3 linked regions of the Neurospora crassa OR74A genome follow. The protein of the gene in region 2 interacts with the protein of the main gene of each other region in a biochemical or structural test. Links are inferred from orthologs where the notes say so. Each region holds a gene or a part of one and is shown on either strand. Other genes may lie near its edges.

Region 1 (3,750 bases), on a different chromosome or scaffold from region 2:
GGTCAAAGCGCCGGGGTGGTTGAAGAGTGTCGCATCTGGTGAGTCCTTGACCACGCACATGCGAAATGCGCGCAGATGAGATATTTGTTTCTTCTTCAAAATTGTCGTGCCAGTGGTGAAGATGGCCTTGTGTAGATACTGCGCCGTGGGAAGGCCAGCCTTAAGGGCCTCGATGTCCTCCAGCGCATCATACGCCTCCCAGAACCTGGGGATCCACTCCTCACTTTGGCTCTGGTTGTTGTCTACGTCGAGAAGATCCTGAGATGGGCCAGCAGGAAGGTCATCAGCACTAGTGGTGTTCTTCCCCACTTCCAACAGGGCTCCGACTACGACACCGACATCTTGCGCACTCAGGGTTGCCCTCCAACCCCAACTGCGTACAAAGCCCCATCCATCTTTGGCACCTCCACGATCTTTCCCGTCCGTGTCTATGGTCGGGACAAGTTCGTCGAGGTTGTAGAGAGACGCGTATTTTAGTAGTTTGGTGCGAAGTTCGCGCTTCAACATCATGTCCATGTGGGCATAACTCTGCTTGCACTGCACCAGACTGACACCCATCTTGGCGAGAAGCTTGTGTAATCGCTTCATGCCAGCCTCGCTCCACGTCTTTAGCCGAGAGAAGAGGTAGGGTGAGTGAAGCATGCTGTCGTATAAACTCCAGTGCCTAATAAGCAGGAACTTGGGCTCCGGCGACAACCTGATACTGGTATCCTCCGGACTTCGAGCGGTTGTTGGGATAATTCCTGTCGTCTCGGGGAGCACCCGGCCGTTTCCTATCTCTGGTGGGTTGAGACGTCTGACCTCGTCTCGCAGAAGCTGCCGTATTCTCGCACCACGCATGCCGAGCCAACCGGAAATGCGGGCGTCTGACCTGCGAGCTGCTACCGCAATACCGGCAGATGAGCGGCCGTACAGCTCCATCGACGTGACCCCAACGATCGCTAACCATAGCAGGTCGTTGTCTTCACGACCCAGTTCTGACGCAAGGGAGTACATCATGGACGAGATGGGCTCCGAATATGATGTACCCAGTCGGTAGTACTCGCGCAAAACTCCCTCGTTTTCTCGTCGTAGTCGTAGCAATCTCCGTCGGAGGGTGTTGGCTGAAGGGCCTCTGGGTGGTTGTGCAGCAGGCGGAGCTTCCAGCGCGTCACTGGAAAATAGGGCATCGTCGCGTAGAGATATGAGACCACGGTGTTGCGGTCGTCGAGGCGAATCTGGAATTGGACTCGACTGTATCTGGCATGAGAGATGTATTACTATGAAGAAATCGGAATGTACTCACCGAATTGCTTCTTCGTCGCTGTCTGGGTCGGTCGTCTTCATCATCGTCCTCGTCGAAGTCCGACCATGATTTCCTCTTTCTGCCTGCAACAACCGATGTATCGCCCGTGTCTTCCTCGTTCTCGCTTTCGTCTTCATCACTGTCGCCCAAGTCTCGGCCATCATCTTCGATTTCGGGCATATCCACTAGCGCCAGATACGCATCTCGTTCCTTGGAGAGCTCATCTTCAATGTCGCCGTCATCCATGACAATGATGCCGCCTTTGCCTGGTTTGTATGCTCGCTCTATCCGGCCGCCATTGACACCAATGGGGGTTCGCGCAGAGAATGTCCTGGCCTCTTGCGTCTCTGGTTCGAGGGGAAAGCCGCCGAAAACGTTGCCCAAGTTCCACGGGCGATGGGAGTCGATCACCCACACCTCTACACCCCCAAAGGTATTTTCTTCGCCCTCGGGCTCAAGTCCCAAAACTGTGCCGAGGTCAACCATACCACCCACTCCCAAGCATACGACGACTCCTCCAGCACCACCACGGGTCTCCATCATGGGGCTGACGAGCTCAGTGCCGGCACGTTCGAGGTCGGAGTAGCCAGCGACTGGCTGGATCTTGTGCGGAATATAGTCATGTTTGAGAAGTTGGGTTAGGATACGGCAGGCACATAGCGCATCGGTTTCGAGAGCGACCAAGATGAGGACGGGCGGCGATAGTGGATGGCGGGTATTTTGCAAGTGGAGGTAGAGTTTTGATATAAGCTGTCGAGGGAGATACATTGCGAAGGGAGAATCGGTATCGAGGGTGGATCAGCGAGGGAAATCGGCTGGGGACGGATTGTCGAGGCGGGGCGGCGAGGCGACGTCGTCGTGGGATATTCGCCGGCGTGGAACACTTCAGTTGTAGTTTACTCGAGGTAACTAACTTCGAACTCTGTTCACTGGGCAGAAAAAAAACCGACGGGGGATGCGCGACGCGGCCTGCCCCGCGTTAAGAGCTTTCTGCTCTGGACTATGTAGCTTGAAATATACGATGGCAAAAAAATACTGGTGTGATGGCGATGCACGTCAGTCGGATAGTGTTGTCGCGGTCGACAATAATTCGGGCGAGGGATGATGGTGTTGATAGGAGTGTTCCTTTGTTGATGTTGGCCAGGATCCTTTAATTGACATGGAAGGGCGGCCAACCAGCGCTGCGCTTCGGACGCGCTTCGAGACGCGACTCTGTGAAAGTGGTTTTGTGCCAGGGCGGGCACAGCGTGCATTACTTAGATATCAACCACTGCAGTGGACTGCAGGGGGGGCGTCAGCACAAAGCGTGCAGTGAAAGGACGCGGCCGGAGCGACCAGTTTGCTTGTACCTAGAGGTACCTCTACGTACTTGTAGTGGGGCTTTGGGTTTTGGGCAGGCAAGACGGGAGGTACCTATTGTAGAGCTGGGTAAAGTACCTACCTACCTACTGCGTACAGTAGTATATCAAGAAATGGCGGGGTACAACGCGAAGTGGAATTGCCCAGGGCAGCTGCTGACAGCCAAGGCCACAGGGGCACCCCGGGGCGGCCATCCCTCGACCGAAGCACGGGCATTGGTACAGTAAGTAGGTAGGTAATAAGGTAAACCAGGTAGGTACATCATAGCCCGGCAAATGCCTGCCCAGAGGACAACGGAACAACGGCCAGTAAGGTTCCTGCACGACAGCAATGCGATAGAAGCTTCCACTTCTGCAACTTGTCCACCTGGTCGAACGTGGAATTTCACGAGAATTTCTGCCGGCCGATGTCCCTGGATTTTAGTGAACTCTTTAGTTGCCGTGGAATCATCTGAGAACACTGTCACCGTGGGGCTGCCCAACAGCTGGAACTGAACTAATTTATCAACCTGGGTGACCAGCTGTGCTCTTTCCACTCCATCTCCTACCATAGCATAGGTAGGTGTCCAGACAGGCATCGATGTCCCACAGAAAGGTCCGCGGTGAAGGAACGGACCGGGGATGATGAACTATTCCGAAATTGCAGAGTGCGGATTGAAGTACAATACCTAGCACAGGAAGGGACCATCTAACGATGTGCTTTCCAATCCTGGATTCCGGATCAGCGTCTCCGGATTTCCGATTCGACCTATAATCCAGCTTCCATCTTCGCTTCTCTTCCTCTGTTTAGTTTGGTCCCTCTTTTGTCAATCCACATTTCCATCATTGCTTGGATCACAACACAACAACTGCCGCACACCAGACACCACTCACAACACTGGCCATCCACCACGACACCCACACCACGCCCCGTCTCGTCGGCGACAGTCTCAATTTCACTCCATCCGTGCTACTACAGTAGCCAGCCGGCCTGCCAAGCCAGCCACGACGGCGGCCACTCTTGCGGCCCACGCTTTTCTACGGTCAACCTGACCGCTCCTCTGCCTTCACTGACCAAAGCAGGAAGGAGGCTGTTCAGAGGAACTGACTGATGGTTGGGCCCAGCAA
Region 2 (3,750 bases):
AAGGTGGTGGTGGGTGAGGTTAGCAGTTGTTATTGTGTTGTATTTTGTGACGGAGGAAGAAAGAAAAAAAAAAAAAAAAAAAAAAAAAAAAAAAAAAAAAAAAAAAAAAAAAAGGAAAAAGGAAAGAGGGAAGAACTTACAGTAATAGGATAAGCCCCCGTCGCCAAACTCTCCCTTCTCATATCCGCAAACAGCCTCGCCACCTTATCCTCATCCATGTGATACAACTTTGGCTGGCACCGCTCTCGGGCATAAAGGATATACTTCCTCAACAGCTCTTGTGGGATTTCGCCCTCTTTTTTACGGCCGTGTTCACCAGTTTGTTGGGTTTCCGCAGCAGCTTGGGTATCGTGTTCAACCTCCATGGAGTCACCACCGCTAGCGTCCTGCGTGTTGTTGTTCATCAACGGATGACTCCTCGAATGCGACCCGACAATGAAGCGCGCCAGCCGCTCATCTTCTTCAGGCTCGACTGTGTCGCGCACGACGCAAAGGATGTCGAAACGAGACAGAATCGGCTCGGTAAGCTCCACGTTGGCAGAAAAGGGAATGGTAGAGTTGTACCGCCCGCCAATAGGGTTAGCAGCGGCGATGATTCCGCACCGGGCTTGCAGGGTCGTGACGATACCGGCTTTGGAGATAGAGATGGTCTGCTGCTCCATGGCTTCGTGGATGGACGTGCGGTCCTGGTCGTTCATCTTGTCGAACTCGTCGATCAGGCAGGTGCCCTTGTCGGCGAGGACGAGGGCGCCGCCCTCGAGAGTCCATTCGGACGTGAGCGGGTCGCGCCGGACGGAAGCCGTCAGACCGACGGCGGAAGCACCCTGGCCGGTGGCGAAGACGGCGCGGTGGGCCGTCTTTTCGGCGTACTTGAGTACTTGTGATTTGGCGGTACCGGGGTCGCCGAGGAGCAGCACGTTGATGTCACCGCGGATGTGGTGGGCGCCGACTTGCTTGGCGACGCCGCCGAAGAGGGAGAGGGCGACGGCGGTCTTGATGTCGGTGTGTCCGTAGATGGAAGGGGCGACGGAGTTGATGATCTTGTCGACAATGTGCGGGTCGCGCGAGAGACGGCGAATCTCGTGCTCGTCTTCCTCGGTCATGCGGAAGCCGGCGAGCTGGTCGTGGGATTTGACAATGTTGTTGGCTTCGAGGATGGTGGCGAAGACGGGGAAGCCGTTGCGGTTGTTGAGCTGCGCGTCGTAGTTGTTGCGGTAGATGCCCGTTACTTCGATCTCCTCGCCCGGCTTGGCCTTGTCGATCAGGTCCCAGAGGAGAATGACCTCGCGGTGACGGGGCAGACGACCGGCGGGAACGGTGCCGGGGGATTCTTGGAGGGTGAGCTTTTGGTAGTTGCGGTAGACGGTCTTCTCGGAGTTAAGGGTGAAGGGGCCACGAGACTGGCAGGACTGGCAGTAAGAGATCTTGACTTCGACGTTGGACTCTTGCTGGAAGGGACCGAGAGTGACGCCGCACTTGGTGCAGTCGAACTTGACATACTTGAGCTGGGGGAAGACACCGGTGCGGCGGGTGACGACACCGCTCACGCGCACAAGACAGTTGAGGTGCGACTGGCGGAGCTGACGGAGGGTATAATGGATAGGAAGGTCGAAGATACGGACGTGGATCTCGGCGTGAATGCGCTCGTAGTCGGGGTAATGGAGAAGGACGACTTCCATGGCAACCTCGTCGAAGAGCTTGAGCATCTCGGTTGGCGCATTGGCGAGGAAGTATGCGAGAATGGCCTTGGCTGTAGCGAGGTGCTCGTAGGAGACCTCGAGAGACTCGGCGTTGATCTCACCAAGAGTACGGATGCGGTTGCCGTAGACGGACGAACCGCTCTCGTCGGTGTATTCTGTGAGGAAAGCCTTGAACTCTCTGCGGATGGTCTTTTGTACAGCCGGGACTGAGATCCATTCGCTCAAAGTGGCAGCCTTGACATCCATCAGGGCCTCGAGGGGAAGTTCCGAGTCCATAATGTCGCCATCCATATCGACATCGGGGTCTTCATTGTAGCGGATTCTTCGGCGGCGTTCCAGGTTGGTAAGGTCGATATCACCATCGTCGTCATCACCAGGAAGATACGTGGTGCCCATTCCCATCCTCACTTGACGGTCTCTCTGGGCCAACTTGGCTTCAAGACGGCGCCTTGCGGCGGGGTCGAGGGCCTCATACTCGTCATCGTCGATGTCAATTCCTTCGTAGGCGTCGTTTTCGTCTCGTTCCCTATAATCGCGCTCGAAGCCTTCGCGGAACAAATCTACATCGTCTTCGGCCAACTCGTCGAGGTCGTCAATGTCGTCTTCGATTTCAGCGGCGACGTCTTCCTCGATGTCGTCGTCCTCATCTGCGCCATGGGCAACTGGGAAGGCGGGAGGAGAAGAGGGCATGACAGGGCTCGAAGCGCGGGGAAGCGAGGAAGCACCATCGTGATCGTTACGCGCACGCTTGCGAGTGGCCCTGGGAACGGCGCCACGGTTGGCAGAGGACGGGTTGTCGCGAAGCGGGGAACTGGTATTGGAGAGTTTCCGTTAATTCACTGTTTACTTGCGAAGAGAAGCCGTGACAGACGAAAGAGCAAGAGGCACACATACCTCATGATTGCGACTTGGCTGAGGGTATCTCAGAGGACTGTAGCCAGCTACAGATGGAAGAAACAAGAGAGTGGAGGATGCTGGCCTAGTTGTTACTATGGAGAATGAATGCCAGCCAGAAAGAGGATATGTTGCGGGGTGAGACAGAGAGAGAGAAGGGGGGGGGGGGGGGGAGGGGAATGGAGACAAACAGCGTCGAGGAACCACTGAATGAATGTTGCCCTTCGTTGCGGCGACCTTGTCCCTGCTTTTTTCTCGCGTTGCAGTCCAGGGAAGACGCGCCAGACGTGATGCGCTAAGCCGGATAAGGGCGGTCGCGTTAAGTGGTTGCTGAGGTTTAATGGGCTTGGCAATGCGTACCGGACCCACTTGGTGCTGCTCTTACACGCCAATTCGACTCGTCGAGATTCCCAAAAAGTCACAAAAGCTCAAAGTCCAGTGAACAATGACGAGCAAAGCATGAGCTATAAGGTGCTACATACTACAGGGCCATGTTATTGATCGGATCACGTTCAAATAGGTTTCCTTGAACCCAATTCCAATCTGTGCTGCTTGGACATATAGACCACAGTGCCTTACACCAAACCAAGGGTACATTGCAAGCTCGGTCCTTCTCCCCACGCTTCCACCAACGCGCCCTCCTCCTCCTCCTCCCCCTCCTCCTCCTCCTCTTCGCGCCCCAGCAATTGTTTTTTGTTTTAAAGACTTCCGGACAGAACCCATCTTTCGTGATCCAGCACCATCTCGAGGCATTTGTCTTATCAACAATTTTGATAGACCACCGACCATCCAAGATTGACCGTGAAAGCATCCATCACCCATGGACCCTCAACCGGCGCAACAGCCCGCCGAGGCCACTCCAGATGGCCATGGAGCTCCAGCACCAGTCGCGCTCACCAAGACTCGTACTGAAAGCTTCTCCGCCAAGTCAGAAAACTCTCAGACTGCCGCAGAGTATGTTGTCATATATTGGACTTACCACATGACAAAGTACTAACCATGGTCTAGCTTCATCCGCGACCAAATGCAACTAGAGGCCGACGCTCGCGAAGCTCTTCCATACGTGCGTGTCCCTTGTCTTCTCTGCCCTTTTCCTTAAAGTCAATCCTAACCTCCCACCAGAGCATCGAAACCTGCACCAAGCCCCTCGGCCCCC
Region 3 (3,750 bases), about 1.8 Mb from region 2:
GGTGAGCTTTCCAGGATTTTGGATATGTTAAGACTATGATATGATGTGTAGGCTTCCATTCCAACACATGTGGTGGGTGTTGCCGTGTGTATGATAACTTCCAGGTCAAATCTGTGTGTGTCCCATTCATCTCGATTCAAAACTTAGCATTGTCATGATACATCGTCGTCAATCATCACTACGACATCAACTCCTCCAGGATAGACTCCAGCTCCTCTTTCCTAAAAGGTAAGCTCAAGTATTCCGTCCCTATCGAGTCCTTGTGACTCGTAATGATTTGATGATCGTGGAATCTGTTTCCGTTCTGTTAGCCGTTGTCCCTTTAAAACCAAGAAAATCATCTCCACAGCCAAGTCACAACAGAGGGAAGAACATACTCCTTTAGCAGCGTCCTAAACGCCATTTCCGAACTGCAAATAAACTCCTCCACAGCCTTGTTGTAAAGCATCCTATACTCTACCCCCGGCCCTTCTCCTCCCGCTGCAAAGTCTCCTGCCCCTGATGTACCACCACCACCACCACCACCGTCCTCAAAAGCCACCAAAACCTCCCCCACAATCAGCCCAAACAATTTCCTCGCGTTCTCGGGTAAACTCCGCAACACAAACGCCACTCCTTCCTTGCCACCCGCTCTCTTGCCCATCCTACCCAGTAACTCGTGTACTTCGTCTACTACGTCCAACTCTTTGCTGTGGTCTGCAAAAGTGGTGCAGTCGTGAAATGCAAAGTTGAACGAGGAGCGTAAGCTAGAGTCCCAGAGCAGAGGGAAGTCGGGCGTGTCGACTGTGCAAGCGAGAGAGATGGCTGGGTGTGAGGAGAGATGGGCGAGGAGGGATTGCGTTTGGGGTTTGCGGAGGGGGGAGAAGGGGGAGTCGAGGGAGGCTAGGAGGAGGGTGATTCTTGGCTTTTGAGCAAAAGAGGAGAGGAGGGTGAAGAGGTTTTGGATCATGGCGAGCGGGTTTCCGGAGGGTAGGCGGAAGGTGGGGTCGATGGCGGCCGAGATGGTGGTGAGGATCTCGCGGAAGGTGAGGGTGCGGGTGTGCCCGTTGATCATGATGATTGTTGTGTTGTTTGTGTCATTACCGCCGGAGGAGGAGAAGAGGTACTCGGCGAATTGGTGCAAAAGTCGACGCTTGGAGCCGTAGCCGTAGAGGCAGACGCTGAAGCCTTGGGAGAGCTCAAAGGCCCATTGGGGGAAGGAGGCGGCGTGTTGCGACTGGAGGGCATCGATATGTTTTTCGTGGGGGTCCTGACCCAGGTTGCGGAGAAGCGAGAAGTATTCTTCGTGGATGAGGAGGTCGAGCGAGGAGAGCGTGTTGTTCGAGGTTTTGTTGGATCCCGGCTTGTTCTGGTAAAAGTATTGTTCATGGGGAGGGAGGTCTCGGGGTGGTGTGGGCGATTTCTTTCGTCGTGCTAAACCGGGGGGTCTGCCTCCTCGTCCTCTCCCCCTCCCTGTCTTGGATGGAGTGGTTGCTGCTAACTCGGCCTCTTGGTCGGCGAGGTTTTCTTGTTGGGTGTCCCCTTCCTCTTCTTCCTCGCTTGACTCGTAGATCTCTCGTGCGATTTGTTGCTCTTCGTCCTCGTCATCGCTTACGGCGCCCTCCAGCACACGGTCGATGAGAGCCCTGGCACTCTTCCGTCTAGCCGATCGGTCGGCAATTCCTCGCCTGCCGGGTGTGTCGACGCCACTGATTCCTTTGAGCTTGATCGGTGTCTCGTCGACTTGTTTCTTGCGCAGGGCGGATGGTGTGCTCGGCTTGCCACTTGGTGTTCCTCCCGTCTTGGCCTTCGGTGGTCGCCCTATCCTTTTCTTGCTGGGTGTCTGCTCGGTAGGTGACTCGGGTTCTTCTGGCACAGAGGCTAGGTCGCGCTGGAGGAAATCGACCTGTTTCCGCGGGGTGGCGTTTCGCTTTGAAGGTGTTCCTCCATCTTCTGGTTGTCGCCGTTGACGCTTTGCGGAGGGAACCGCATCATCCTCATCTGGAACTTCGTAGGGGTCGGCAGGGAGTGGCCGCTTTCGAGAGGGGCGTTCGACTAGATCGTGCTGATCTGTTGATTTCCGACGAGGAGGCATACCGTTTGTGTTATTGGCTTTGGTTTATGTTGTCCAAGTTGTATGGCATGCCTTGGAGTCCCGCTGTACCTTTACCCTACCTCTGCAATTCGAAGTCTACGGGAAACTTTTGTAAAGTCAAGACGCGCTCGCTTAATTGAGACGCGTTAAGCTGTACATACGCCCGGGATGACGCTACCTACCTCTAGATGGGAAGACAGCAGGTACCTGCTAGAGAGTACCTGCGGGTAGCAGGGTTCGCTGCCTACTAACGGGGGCAAGCCAAGCCCCTGTCTACCACCACATACGCTACCTCTAGGTACTTCGCGGGAGGGTTATAGGTGGGAGAGTTCATAGGCTTTCTTGCAACCTCATGTCATCTCAACCAAACAAACTCCAAGAGGACTATCGCGACCAATATGTCAAAGCTCAATCTCAATTTGTCTGCCTCATTGAACATTTTCAAGCTTATCGCCAAGCCTTCACTATGTCTGCCCCACGCTACAGTTCCAACGTTCAACGACCTGCCCATCCCTCTTAACAAAGCCTTCTCCGGCAATGGCGAGAAGAAGGTTGACATAAAGGCTGTCGTGCTCGACAAAGATGACTGCTTTGCCTATCCTGATCACAATGAAGTGTATGAGGCTTACAAGGTGGGTTGTCTCTCGTCCCAATTCCATTCAGGAACGCTTTGACTGATTAAGCCAAGGAACGCATGGAGGCTCTACGAGCAGCATACCCAGGACGCCGTCTTCTGATCGTTTCCAACACTGCTGGTGCCCTAAGCTGGGACAAGGACGGCCAGATGGCATCCGCAGTTGAAAAGGCCACCGGCATCACTGTTCTCCCCCATGGTGTGAAAAAGCCAGGCTGTGGAGACGAGATCATGTCCTACTTCCGTGCCCACCCGGAAACCGGTGTCACCAGTCCTCACCAGATCGCCGTCGTGGGAGACCGACTGGCCACTGACATGATGCTTGCCAACATGATGGGCAGCTATGGTATTTGGATCAAGGATGGAGTTGTTCCCCACCAGCAGAAGAGCATCGTAAGTGAAACCCTGCAACCAAGCTGCGTGATAAGCCAAAGTCTTTTGCTGACTGGGATATGATAGTGGTCGAGAGTTGAGAGGACTGTTGCGCCCTTCCTTGTATCCCGTGGTTATACCGCTCCTGAGCCAGTGAGCCCCTTTGAGTAACTGCATTTTGTGCTTCTCCAGGGAAAGAAGACAGCGTGTAGTAATGTATGTTTTCTGCATATCCCCAGTAGCTGAGGTGGGTTCTTCTTTTCTTTCGCATCTGTGCCCCATTCTCTTTAATTGTTCCGACGTCGTTGTTCTCCTCTACGTTGTGGTTGTGCCCTTTCCCGATGTCTTGCTCGTTGTGTCCATTGCCTACGAAACATGTTTCTTGTCTCGCTTAATAGTGGTTTCTGGCGCGAGGGAAACAGGCGTGCTTCAGATTTTCCTCTCAGCTGCCGGGCCTGTCTTTCCGTCTGTCTGCGCGATTATCAGAGTTCTCGAGCAACGTTAAGGATACCGTTGTGATTATAAGCGACAGTGTCGTGTGGCTGAGCCGACTGGTCGCTGGTTTGATATCAGTCCCGTTGAATAGCGGCAGAGAACGCTACCAACGGATATGTTAGCAAAGACACAGTAGTTGGACACATCGAGCAGACCTCTTGGAAAACCAGTTCCC

Evidence for each region.
Region 1: the proteins of NCU04327 (region 2) and NCU04378 form a complex in vitro, tested with the Saccharomyces cerevisiae proteins (7 studies listed by BioGRID). The link is inferred for Neurospora crassa OR74A from reciprocal best matches to the Saccharomyces cerevisiae genes MCM2 and CDC45.
Region 3: the proteins of NCU04327 (region 2) and NCU01370 form a complex in vitro, tested with the Saccharomyces cerevisiae proteins (2 studies listed by BioGRID). The link is inferred for Neurospora crassa OR74A from reciprocal best matches to the Saccharomyces cerevisiae genes MCM2 and ORC2.

What each region holds. Positions count from the first base shown.
Region 1 is NC_026504.1:3,568,422-3,572,171, forward strand, and holds the start of NCU04378 (DNA replication initiation factor Cdc45), read right to left. Parts: upstream 2,412-3,750; 5' UTR 2,054-2,411; coding exon 1,286-2,053; intron 1,234-1,285; coding exon 1-1,233. UniProt on the Saccharomyces cerevisiae protein: Required for initiation of chromosomal DNA replication. Acts at the origin of replication. Also has a role in minichromosome maintenance.
Region 2 is NC_026505.1:5,630,961-5,634,710, forward strand, and holds the start of NCU04327 (DNA replication licensing factor mcm2), read right to left. Parts: upstream 2,752-3,750; 5' UTR 2,600-2,751; coding exon 2,595-2,599; intron 2,512-2,594; coding exon 141-2,511; intron 1-140. Other genes in the region: NCU04328 (metaphase-anaphase transition protein), read left to right, coding at 3,415-3,548, 3,603-3,657, 3,717-3,750. UniProt on the Saccharomyces cerevisiae protein: Acts as a component of the MCM2-7 complex (MCM complex) which is the putative replicative helicase essential for 'once per cell cycle' DNA replication initiation and elongation in eukaryotic cells.
Region 3 is NC_026505.1:3,801,824-3,805,573, forward strand, and holds the start of NCU01370 (hypothetical protein), read right to left. Parts: upstream 2,202-3,750; 5' UTR 2,075-2,201; coding exon 378-2,074; intron 294-377; coding exon 179-293; 3' UTR 1-178. Other genes in the region: NCU01371 (UPF0660 protein, variant), read left to right, coding at 2,473-2,706, 2,763-3,101, 3,168-3,251. UniProt on the Saccharomyces cerevisiae protein: Component of the origin recognition complex (ORC) that binds origins of replication. It has a role in both chromosomal replication and mating type transcriptional silencing. Binds to the ARS consensus sequence (ACS) of origins of replication.